Kluyveromyces lactis: one gene and its partners. The protein of the gene in region 1 purifies or fractionates together with the protein of each later gene. This does not show direct contact. Links are inferred from orthologs where the notes say so. Each region holds a gene or a part of one and is shown in the gene's direction. Other genes may lie near its edges.

Evidence for each region.
Region 2: the proteins of VPS13 (region 1) and MCP1 purify together in Saccharomyces cerevisiae (affinity purification with western blotting, with the first as the bait; 3 studies listed by BioGRID). This does not show direct contact. The link is inferred for Kluyveromyces lactis from reciprocal best matches to the Saccharomyces cerevisiae genes VPS13 and MCP1.
Region 3: the proteins of VPS13 (region 1) and SPO71 purify together in Saccharomyces cerevisiae (affinity purification with western blotting; 5 studies listed by BioGRID, with this or other methods). This does not show direct contact. The link is inferred for Kluyveromyces lactis from reciprocal best matches to the Saccharomyces cerevisiae genes VPS13 and SPO71.

The regions. Positions count from the first base shown.
Region 1 is NC_006041.1:65,979-70,244, reverse strand, and holds the start of VPS13 (membrane morphogenesis protein VPS13), read left to right. Parts: upstream 1-1,466; coding exon 1,467-4,266. Other genes in the region: ECM29 (Ecm29p), read right to left, coding at 1-1,104.
Region 2 is NC_006040.1:617,935-620,706, reverse strand, and holds MCP1 (Mcp1p), read left to right. Parts: upstream 1-1,420; coding exon 1,421-2,272; downstream 2,273-2,772. Other genes in the region: SPP1 (Spp1p), read right to left, coding at 49-1,077; HER1 (Her1p), read right to left, coding at 2,421-2,772. UniProt on the Saccharomyces cerevisiae protein: Recruits the lipid transfer protein Vps13 to mitochondria thereby promoting vacuole-mitochondria contacts. Involved in mitochondrial lipid homeostasis.
Region 3 is NC_006042.1:1,106,613-1,110,753, reverse strand, and holds the start of SPO71 (Spo71p), read left to right. Parts: upstream 1-1,341; coding exon 1,342-4,141. Other genes in the region: ECM4 (S-glutathionyl-(chloro)hydroquinone reductase), read left to right, coding at 1-953. UniProt on the Saccharomyces cerevisiae protein: Recruits the lipid transfer protein VPS13 to the prospore membrane during sporulation, thereby aiding prospore membrane formation.

The DNA.
Region 1 (4,266 bases):
ATTTCCGGTTGTTTCTCGTAACGCTAGGTGATTGTTTTTGGCAACATGACGAATGAAAACCAGGGCAGCTAATTTGACTCTCAGATTGCGACTAGCAATGCCGTCCATTGATATCCTCAGAGGCAAATTGGGTAACCTCGTTATCAGAATACTTCGCGTTAGAAGTCCCAGTATTTTTTCCTGGATTTGAGGATTCACAGGTGGTAGATGCTCAGCAATATTGCCGCAAAACAAATCTGAGAGATATTTAACAAAAGTTTCATCATCATATGGTATCTTAATTCTCTTCAAAAGCGTGGACGCTGAATCTGATATATCGATTGGTTGTGCTGATACCACCAATAAGAATGGTATCAAAATCTGGTCATTACTAGTCAAACCTGAGACAGTAAAATCAAAAATTGCCCTTCTGTATTGGTTTAACAAGTCTTTGGTGAAGTATATGGCAGGGCTATAAATGAAAAATGACACATCAGTGCTAGAGAGACCCGGACAAAAGTAGGAAACTGAGCTACCTTCTGTTCTCTTGGGAACCAATAGAAAAAACTTCAAGAATTTTTCAACCAAAAATCTTAAATCAGAATCATTTACGTTTAAAAAGTCTATCGTTTCTCTTTCCTCTGAGGAACCTTGCAAAGGAGCTTTCCATGTCAACAATACTTTACACAGAATGTGAAATATTCTTGTTTGTGCTGGTGATGATAAGTTGGAAATATCTTCTATTATATCAGGCAAAAGCTCTCTTGATTCCTGTCTACTTATTCTTTCTACCCCTTTGGAAAGGAAAAACGACGAATAAACAATAACATTGGTAGCGTCCTGACCTTCATTCAGATTTGGCTTTTTAACTTGTTGCAATAGCTGCCTCACCGGAAGCTTACAGCGAAAATGAGAATTGACTCTCGACGTGATATGTTTTATGGACTCATAAACCAATTCCCTAACGGATGAATAAGGTGAGGCTAGCTTTAATAATAAAGGCGGCAAAAAAGTGTTCAAAGTCTGCTCGAATTTAGCATCATCTTTTGCCAATACTAGTCTGAGGTCAACCTTCTCAACAAGTGATCTCTCTTGGCCCTCACTCAATTGCTGGAACTTGCTCATTGGACAACATTAACACACGGTTTTATGATGTCTTTCTTCGTACAGTGGCAAATATGTTCAAATTATTTCCAATCTTCTGCTAATAAGATTCACATCTTTAAACTTTCAAACCTTTAAAGTGCAGTAGAATTCCTTTTGCCTGATTTAAATACCTGATTACCCGCACATATCCATGCTATGAAACCTTTTTTTTCAATTGACAGTTTGTCTATTTTTGTATTTACATAAATTCAAAGGGGAGCTGATAGCAATTGAAACCAGAAAAAATAAAACACCAACTTTGCATCAGTCCACCCTAAAGCACCAATAGAGAATCTAAATAGCTCACAACAGTAATAAATCAACGATAGAGAGCCTAATAAATGTTAGAATCTCTTGTCTCTGCTCTTTTAAACCGATTTTTGGGTGCCTATGTCGAGAATTTCGATCCAACCCAACTTAACGTTGGCATATGGAACGGGGATGTTAAATTACGCAACTTGCGTTTAAGAAAGGATTCATTAGATGCATTGGATCTACCTATCGATGTAAAGTTTGGATATTTGGGAGAATTGACTTTGTTAATCCCATGGTCCAGTTTAAAAAATAAACCAGTGAAGATCATAATTGAAGATGTGTATATGTTATGCGCTCCACGGACACCGGAGTCATATAATGTGGAGGAACAAATTGAGCGCGAGCTCAAAGTAAAACTTCAGCGTCTGGCAGATTTTGAACTCGCCAACAGTTCCAAACCAGATATCAATTTAGATTCTAATCGCAATGAATCTTTTACACAATCCTTGTTGACCAAAATTGTCGATAACCTTCAGGTAACGGTGAAGAATATTCATATGAGGTATGAAGATATGAATTCAGTGTTCAGTGAAGGACCATGCGCATTTGGTATTTCATTAAGTGAGCTCTCTGCAGTATCCACTGATGAATCCTGGAATCCCAGTTTCATCTCCATTAAACAACAAATTACTCATAAATTGGCTACCCTAGATTCTATTAGTATATACTGTAACACAGGCACAGAATCGATAGAAACGGACGACTCTGAGGAACTTTTGATTAGATTACGCGAATCAATTGCCGATAACCGAGGCGCTCCAGAATATCAATACCTCTTGAAACCGGTCAGAGGATCGGCTAGACTCAAAATGAATAAAGCTGGTGCCACTGAAGATGCTCCTCATATCGATGTGCAATTAATGTTTGATGAATTTGCTCTTGTGTTAGATGATTGTCAGTATAAGGAAGTCCTTCACAATCTGTCGAAGTACCACTGGTTCCATAAAACTTTGAAGTACAGACAACATAGACCGACTGTTAAACCTGCAGCTGATCCTGCTTTATGGTTCAAGTACGCTGCAAACTGTGTTCTATCTGAAATACACGAGAAAAACTACAAGTCTAGTTGGGAATATATTAAAGAAAGAAGGAACAAGAGAGATGAGTACGTATCTCTTTTCAAGAAAAAGCTAACTCTACCTGATATTAACGATCCATTGCCTAATGTTGAAGAGGAAAAAAGGCTTCATGCGCTTGATGTAGAGTTAAGCTTTGATGATATCAAGTTTTTCAGAGCCTTTACCAGAAGAGAGTTTTGTCAGGAGTCTAAATTTACTCAGCTTTCAGAGACGATTAGCACCAACGCAAATCCACAAGGTTGGTTTTCAAGCTGGTGGGCTCCATCTAACGCAAAAAGCGATGACAGCTTGACAATGACTGACGAACAGCGCAAAGAGCTTTACGATGCTATTGAATACGATGACTCGAATGATCCTTTGAAATCAGTAGACATACCTAAAGATCGTACAACTCTTAGAGTAACCAATCTATTACAGAAAGGATCTTTAACAGTGATGGATAGAACAAAAGGCCATCGCATGTGTGACTTCATATTTGAGGAATCTGCAACAGAATTTCTGAACCGACCAGACTCTTTTCTTTTCAAATTTGAGCTTTCCAGTTTCCTCGTGGAGGATGGTTCTCCTCACACCTTATATCGTCACATTGTCAGCCCTAGGACTAAACATGAAAAAGGTGGCGACCCTCTTTTACATCTTTATTTTGATAGTTGTCCAATGGATGAGTCAGCTGACACATTTTTAGATATTAAGTTTGGGTCTGTGTTTGTGTATTATCACATTCATTTTATCAATGAATTGATAAGATTCTTCAACCCTCCAACTAAACACTGGGAAACAGTATCTGCCTTAATGAATGCTGCAGAGGCAACTGTTGAAGGATGGACAAGTCAAACCAGAATGGGATTAGAAGCACTACTCAATGAACATAAAACTATCGATCTAAAACTTAATGCAGCTTCTCCGACCATCATAATTCCATTAGACGCGCATTCTTGGGAATCTCCATGCGCAATAATCGATGCTGGTTCGATCAAGATGTCTAGTGATCTTGTGCCAAAACAAGAAATCAAGAAAATAAAGGAGCTAAGTGTGGATGAATATGCTAAGATTGATTCTGATGAACTCAAAAGATTAATGTTTGATAGATTTAAGATAAAACTCACAGACACCCAATTGCTAATCGGGCCTGACATGAAATCATCGATCACTAGCATCAATGTCAAACAAAGAGACAACAATTTCACAATTTTGGAGAAGATGGAATTAGATTTTATTCTAGATATTTTGATCTTCCCAAAAGCGTTAAACTTGCCCAGAGTCGCAGCCTCAGTGACACTTCCAAGCCTTAACATCTTTTTGAACGACTTTCAATATAAAATCATAATGCAATTGGTTGAGAGCTGCGTACCATATGTTGAAGACGATCAGGAAGAAGCCAGTACCTCGAGCGGAAGCCAGAGCTACTCTCAATTAATTCCTCTAGACAATATTGGTGGATCTGATGAAGCTCTATTGAAACATAAGGAGACCCTTGTCTTGAAACAGACAAAGAGAATGATGGAAACATTAAGTAAAGCAGAGCTCGATCAAACATCTTTTCAACTTTCCTTGGATGTTTCTAAGATCGAAATTTCCCTTTTGAAATGTTTAGAAGGTCCAACCATGAATTCTTCTAAACTTGTAAAACTTGTTGGTGAACATCTCTCACTAAGACTTCTAAAGAGCTTTGTTAAAATGGATTTCGATCTCTCATTAACAGAGTTAAGATTCGAGGATCATATTTCAAAGCAAACATCGAAAGGAT
Region 2 (2,772 bases), on another chromosome or scaffold:
CGTTTCGCCTTCATTGTAATGACAGAAAAGTGACACATTAGATATGAGCTAGGTCTTAACACCGGGTAGGACGCGATTGGACATCTCTTGTTCGAAGAATGAGATTCTCAATTGGTTCGTTCTGACGCTAATTAGTAAATCGAGTCTTCTTTTGACGTTTTCTAGAGAGTCCTTCTGTTCCGAGAGATCGTTTTGGGACAATGTAATCCAATCCTGATGCTTAGCACATTTTGTCTTTACACAAACACCGTCAACTGATGTGATATTACTGTTTTCGTCTTCTTTCAACTGAAGTAGCTTATCTAAAAACTCCTCAACTGACCGAGGGATCGTGAACTCATTATGGTAGCCGCATATTGTAACTTTACTTGCACTTTTCGACTTCTTTCGACCTGTAGGCTGATTGAAATGTGGGGATAATCTCTCGTTAACTTCACCGATCCAGTTGACGTATTTCTCTATTACTGCATCTTCTTCATTTAGTTTTGAAAGCTTGACCGAAACCAACTCATCGTGTTCGTTAATTAATTTGTTTAAATGCTGATCATTTTCTAGCAACTTGGAATATTGATCTTTGGATAAAGGTGACGTGACTTCTGGAAGCTTGTCTCGTCCTAGCGTTTTAAATTCCTCCAATGATGTTGTCTCGTTTAGAAGCTGTCTCAACAATGCAATCTTATCTACGCCAGGTAGATTTAACTTATCAACAATGCTTTGAACGTATTGAACAGCATGTTTCTTTGAACAATATTTGCTTCTTGAATTGGCATCACACTCTGTATAGCATTCAGGGAGCCTGCATTTCCTCTTCCAAAGAGTTTTCGGTAGTTTGCCGCCATTTATCAATGCCGGTCCTGTAATTCCAGCACTACAATACGAACAGTAGAATGAAAAAACGAGATCTCTATATTTCTCGGGGATCTTTAAACAGGAAAAATGAAACCAATCATCACATCCATCACATCCTACCATCAACTCCCCAGTGTCTGGTTTCTTACATATACAATAAACTTCTTCCCCAGTTTTTGGGTCGTGTTTCCTGCTGTCATACCTGGGGCACCAACTAGGTAATGACATCGTGAATACTGTAAATTCAATCCTATACTGGAGTTATCTTATGATGATAAATATCTAGGCAGAAAAAATGAAGTATATTCTTTGTAATATTCAAATGCAACCATTCATGTACCCTTCACAGGCCATATTTGTGTTATTTCTCTGTTTATTTTACCTTCATCGATTCGTGTAATGGTTTTTACATTTTAATATTCCTTTTCTGATGCAATGTGTAAAGATGGAATGTAATGAATAAGCCAACATCAAATTAAGAAACAGATATACCAAGATTCTCAGAAATATCACTTGCCCTTTGAGTATATGAACAAGTGCGTGATTCGCTGACTTATAATTGATAAACTTCATGACTGCTGCGAAATTGACACCGTTGAAGCCCATTCCGACCAAACACATCGACCCCGATTTAGCAAAAACCCCCGAGGATGCCAGCGTCAATTTAGTGTTGAATATTAAGAAATGGCTAAGGTGGACGCAAAAATGGTCTTTATTCCCTCTAGTAACGTACTTTCCGTTACACGGTATCAATGCCCTAATAATTCCTGCTCTTGAGCCCTCCTCTTTTCCAAACGATGCTTTAATGATGGTTAGAGAACTCACATCTGGACTTGGATCTAAGTTGATTTGGACTGGGATATCAATACATATATTATCCGGATTTGCCTTGAGAATAATGAGGAAGCTGCCTACTTCTTCGAAAACACATAATGCCGAATCCTTGCTGGATACTCAGTCACTTGCACAATCTAGAATTGGTCTTGTAGGTGGTTTAAGTGGGTACTTTATTGGGATCAAGAGAAACCTTCAATATAATCCACAAGAGCTTACAGGATGGTTGTTAACTCCAGTATTATTCTTTCATGGTGCCCTCATGAAATGGCTGCCAAATACGGCGAAAGTTGATATAGACTTTGATTTTGTCAAATGGCTACTAGATAAAGACAGAGGTGCTTTGGTGAGGATAGGTCTCGGATATGGCCCCTTGGTTGCTCTTATTGGTTTAGGATCGTATCATATTATCGCTGGAACCGTTCAATATATGCATGTCCGTAGTCTAAAGACTCGTAAAAGAATAATGAACTTCATATTGCTGCTTATTTGTACCGGATATATTGGAATAAGCAGATTGGGATCAGAGATCGTATTCGGAATGGACAAATATTATAGACCAATCCTAAGAACATTGTCATTATCATGAAAATGTATGCTTTACTTCCTGCCAGTGATACACCGTTCATCGTTAATTTTATTCACCATGGCGCTTGTTTTGGTCTTCCTGTACCTAGTTTTATTTATTGTGTGTGTGGCACGTCCATATGTACTTTTGTTTATGCAAAAATATTTATTTATCCTCTGTTAGAACGAACACGACTCAAATTGTTCAACAACTTGTCATATGTCTCGTCAACGTTGAGTTGTTCGGTGGTGGTTTCATCTTCGACATAACTATCTTCACTTTCAGATGGGAATCCATTTTCCTGCGCGGAGTGTCTCTCATCATGACTCACGTTCCCGTCCGGTCTTCCTCCAGGTGATAAAACTAATGGCTTTGCATCAGCAGGTGGTTCAACTTGGATACCATAAATATTATCCAACTTGACTTGTTGACAATTAACATTATCAATCAAGTCTTCAATGGAATTGATACCTTTCGCTTTGATGATAGCCTCACGAAGTTCCGTACCAGATGGAATCTTC
Region 3 (4,141 bases), on another chromosome or scaffold:
GTCCTTGGGCTCACCGCACCTTGATTACCAGGGTCTTGAAGGGATTAACGTCCGTTATTGGTATCAGTGTTGTGCATTGGCACATGGATGAGAAAGGATGGAGGTTTTTACCATATAATGAATCGAATAAAACCGATGGAAAGGAATCGTACAAACCATCCGCAGGTCTCAAATGTGAAAAGGATCTCTGTGTCAGCGCTGATGTAGATAATCACTCTATCAAATACGGCATTGACGGTACCATCGATCACAATTACCATTTCCAAAGAATTAGCGAATTGTACTTCAAGAGTGAACCGGAATATGCAGCCAGATTCACTGTGCCCGTTCTATGGGACTTGAAGACCCAAACCATAGTTAACAATGAAAGTTCTGAGATTATTAGAATTTTCAACAGTGGTGTTTTCAATGAAGTGGCAGATTCTCATCCAGACATCGATTTGGTTCCAAAAGAATTAGAATCTCAAATCGATGAGATCAACTCCTGGGTCTACGACTCCATCAATAATGGTGTTTACAAGACCGGGTTTGCTGAGAAACAGGACATCTACGAGAAGGAAGTATTGAATGTGTTCAAACATTTGGATAAGGTGGAAGGCATACTAAAGAAAAGGTACGAAACTTTGAAATCTACTCATTCTTCTGAGGAGGAAATTGTAAAGAAACTATACCTATTAGGAGATCAATTAACTGAGGCTGACTTGAGATTATATCCTACCATTGTAAGATTTGACCCTGTATACGTTCAGCATTTCAAAACCAATTTGAACACTATTCGCTCGGGGTACCCTTACATCCATTTGTGGCTCAGAAACTTATATTGGAACTACGAAGCTTTCCAAGAAACTACCAATTTCAACCACATCAAATGGCATTACACTAGATCCCATACTAAAATCAACCCATTATCAATTACCCCATTAGGTCCCTCTCCAAACATCTTGCCATTATAACTGATGACAAAATGGTTTCTTACCTTGATATTTTAAAATTAGTTCTGGTCTGCCTGAAGCGGCATATATGTGCCACTTCACATCACCTACATACTGTTAGTAAATACACATAATGAAATTCAACTCTTTATGACATGCAACCAAGATTATGTGGATAAATCTCAAATAGTTGTTGTATTTGTCGCTTTCATCTGACAGAGATAAATCCCAAGAAAACCTTTGCTTAAATCTTTGGAATAATTTCATTTCAAGGGTACACAAACACAACTTATAAAAACTTAAACAGAGAATTCTTCATTACGATACTTGATGGTTACTACTATTGAGCAGGGCATGAATTACTGAATATCTTGAGAAATATCACTAGAGAAGAGTGGTTTACATTCATATGGACGAAAGAATTAAGGTTCTAATAGATATTGTATTGGATGATGATAGATTCTTACAATACATCAGGGAAAATGCAGGTCTCGGGGAATCTGCGATGAAAAAGATCGAGATCCCCAAGCACTCATTCACCTCCCACCAGCTAACTTATTGCTCTGCTGTGGAGATTTCACAAAGTCATCGATCCGTCCTAATAGGTGGAATTCCACAAATATGGAATCTTCAGCATTCATATAACATCTTCACGATCTTTGAGAGGCTGACTGATGTACGATTGCGAAACAGAATAAAATACGTTTACGAGAAAGGTAGAGGTAAGGAGACAAGATTCATACATTGGAGGCAGTATCATTCCGCAGATAAGAACAAAGCTTTCGATGAAAACGTTAAACCCTCTAAACTTGTCACTGTTTATGATGATGATGATAATGACGAAGACGACGGCGAAGCGTCATTACAGAATGGAAGCTTGAATTCACCTAGTGTAGTGCAGCAAAGTCCATCAGGGCTAACCAGTGATGCGCATCGTGGAAATGATGCTGATGTAATGCATTTTGAGGATCCGTTAATTGGCCATGATGGAGAAAGCACAGTAAATTCGGATCTTGAAGAACAATCTCTCGAGTACAATGAAGCACCTACCGATTTTTCTGTACTAGACGACAATGAAACAAGATCTTTAGATGTAAGGACCTACACACTAAACAAAGAAAATGCTAACCAACGTCTTATTTTCAGACATCCAACGAGACAGACATTCCGATCTTTTACGTCGAGAAGAAGTTCACTCAACAGTAAAGATCCACTTAAAATACTAAAGCCGATTCCTCAACCGATTACTCGAGAGGAGCAGACAAGAATCAATAATTCGCATGCACATTATACCCCTTTCAAAGCTATTGGCAAAAAGATTAGTGCCGTGGTACCAGACGCTCATTTCGGGAGTTTTTGGGAAAAACCCTCCCCAGAACATAATAGAATCACTTTAGATAGTACTAAAATTGGGAAAATCATCAAGATGGAAAAGATGATTGTTATGGTTAAGCAAGCTTTAACTGCCAGAGTAATTCCCCCTCATTTCTCCGAAGATGAACCAGTAGATACTAGAATTTATGAACGATGGAAAGAGTATTTCGTTGTAGCTAGAGGGACGGGAAACCCGGATGCTCCAGTAAGGCTACAACTTTACACTTCAAGAAAAATTAAACCAATAGTAACAAAGGATAGAAAACCATGGCATTGCAAGATTCAGTTTGATTTAGATAAGAAATGCCTTGTTGAATTTTATAATTCTTTGGACAAAAGTATTTGCATTGTCAAACAAGATGACCTATTAACACAAGAAATGAGGTTTGCGGATAATGCAAAAACGAAAACAGCAACATCGAAGAAACAATTTTCCCCTTTGAAAATTTTCATATTCCGATGTGATAATCTATTATCATCTAGTAGGTGGTTGGTATTTTTGAGATCCAGCATTGGTCCTGCAGCACAACCTTGTGACATTGACATCCATATTCCAATAGTAAATTTATCACTAAATGTAGATCTCCCAGAAATAATAAGAAGGAAATTAGCAAAGAAGGCGGCAGAAGAGGAGGAAGTGATGAAAATATTCCAACTAGAAAATGGATACCGTGTAGCACAACTTCCAATATTAAGATATTTGAAGCTAGTTATACGTGAGACGCTTATACAACTTGGATATTTACATGAGGTTAAAAAATGGGATGCTTCCAATATACTAATGGGACTATGTTGGAAACATTACGATAGGATTGAATGGTCTTACGGCAATCAAACTGATTTGTTGTACGGAACATTTGTTTTGAGAAAATCTCACATATTTGAATATCGTAGGCTTAAAACTTACCCCAGATCCATACAGAAACCCATCGATAATCACACTGATACCGTTAAGGTCATTAATGAGCCCTCGCCAATTGAGGGTTTTTTATCTGAAAACAATATTGTTTTCAGCGATAAAAATGAATATAAACTCTCACATCCCTATTTTAAGCTTTCCTACTGGTTCACTTCAAACGGGCTCTTTTTTAGGACTAGATCCGTTAAGGCTACACCACCACTACCGGAAGATGACGTAATCGATCCATTCGGAGTAGTATTAGATAAAGCCAGGCTAGATGACTTAATTGAAACCATGCCTAGAGTGTACGAAGATAATCCATATCCATTAGATGAGAATGGTCATTTCGCTTGGTTAAACGAGAATATAACAACTGCGGAATTTGAAAGTCACGACGCAAGAGCTAGTAGATCATTCCTGAGAAAAATATCACTAATACTCAAAGCGGATAATTGCATTGACTTGACTCGTTGTACAGATATCAAGCTTTTAGATGCATCGGGCTTCAATATTAAGACCATGAAAATATGGAATGAAGCAAATAATATGGTATGGAAGAATAGTCAAACACTTGAAGCAACGAAGTCTTCTATTATAGAGTTAGTAATTGGTAAAAATGTCAGTAAACTACTCATGGCGCCTGATCCGGAGACATGTCAAGAGTGGTTATCACGACTACGTGAAATAGCCTTCTACTGGAAGCGAAGACTAGCTGCTGATCGACAGCTTCTCTGGGATTTGAAAATAAAGAATCTCAACACCTTCAATATAACTGAACTTCAGGAAAAGCACATATCTGCATTTGTTCCGAAATGGATGACAGAATTATCAACAACAAACGATCATATTTACAACGTCAGCGCTCATGCTTTGTCGCGTCCTATAATACACCAAGGATTAATTTATCATAAATCCAGAAAACATTCAGTATTCA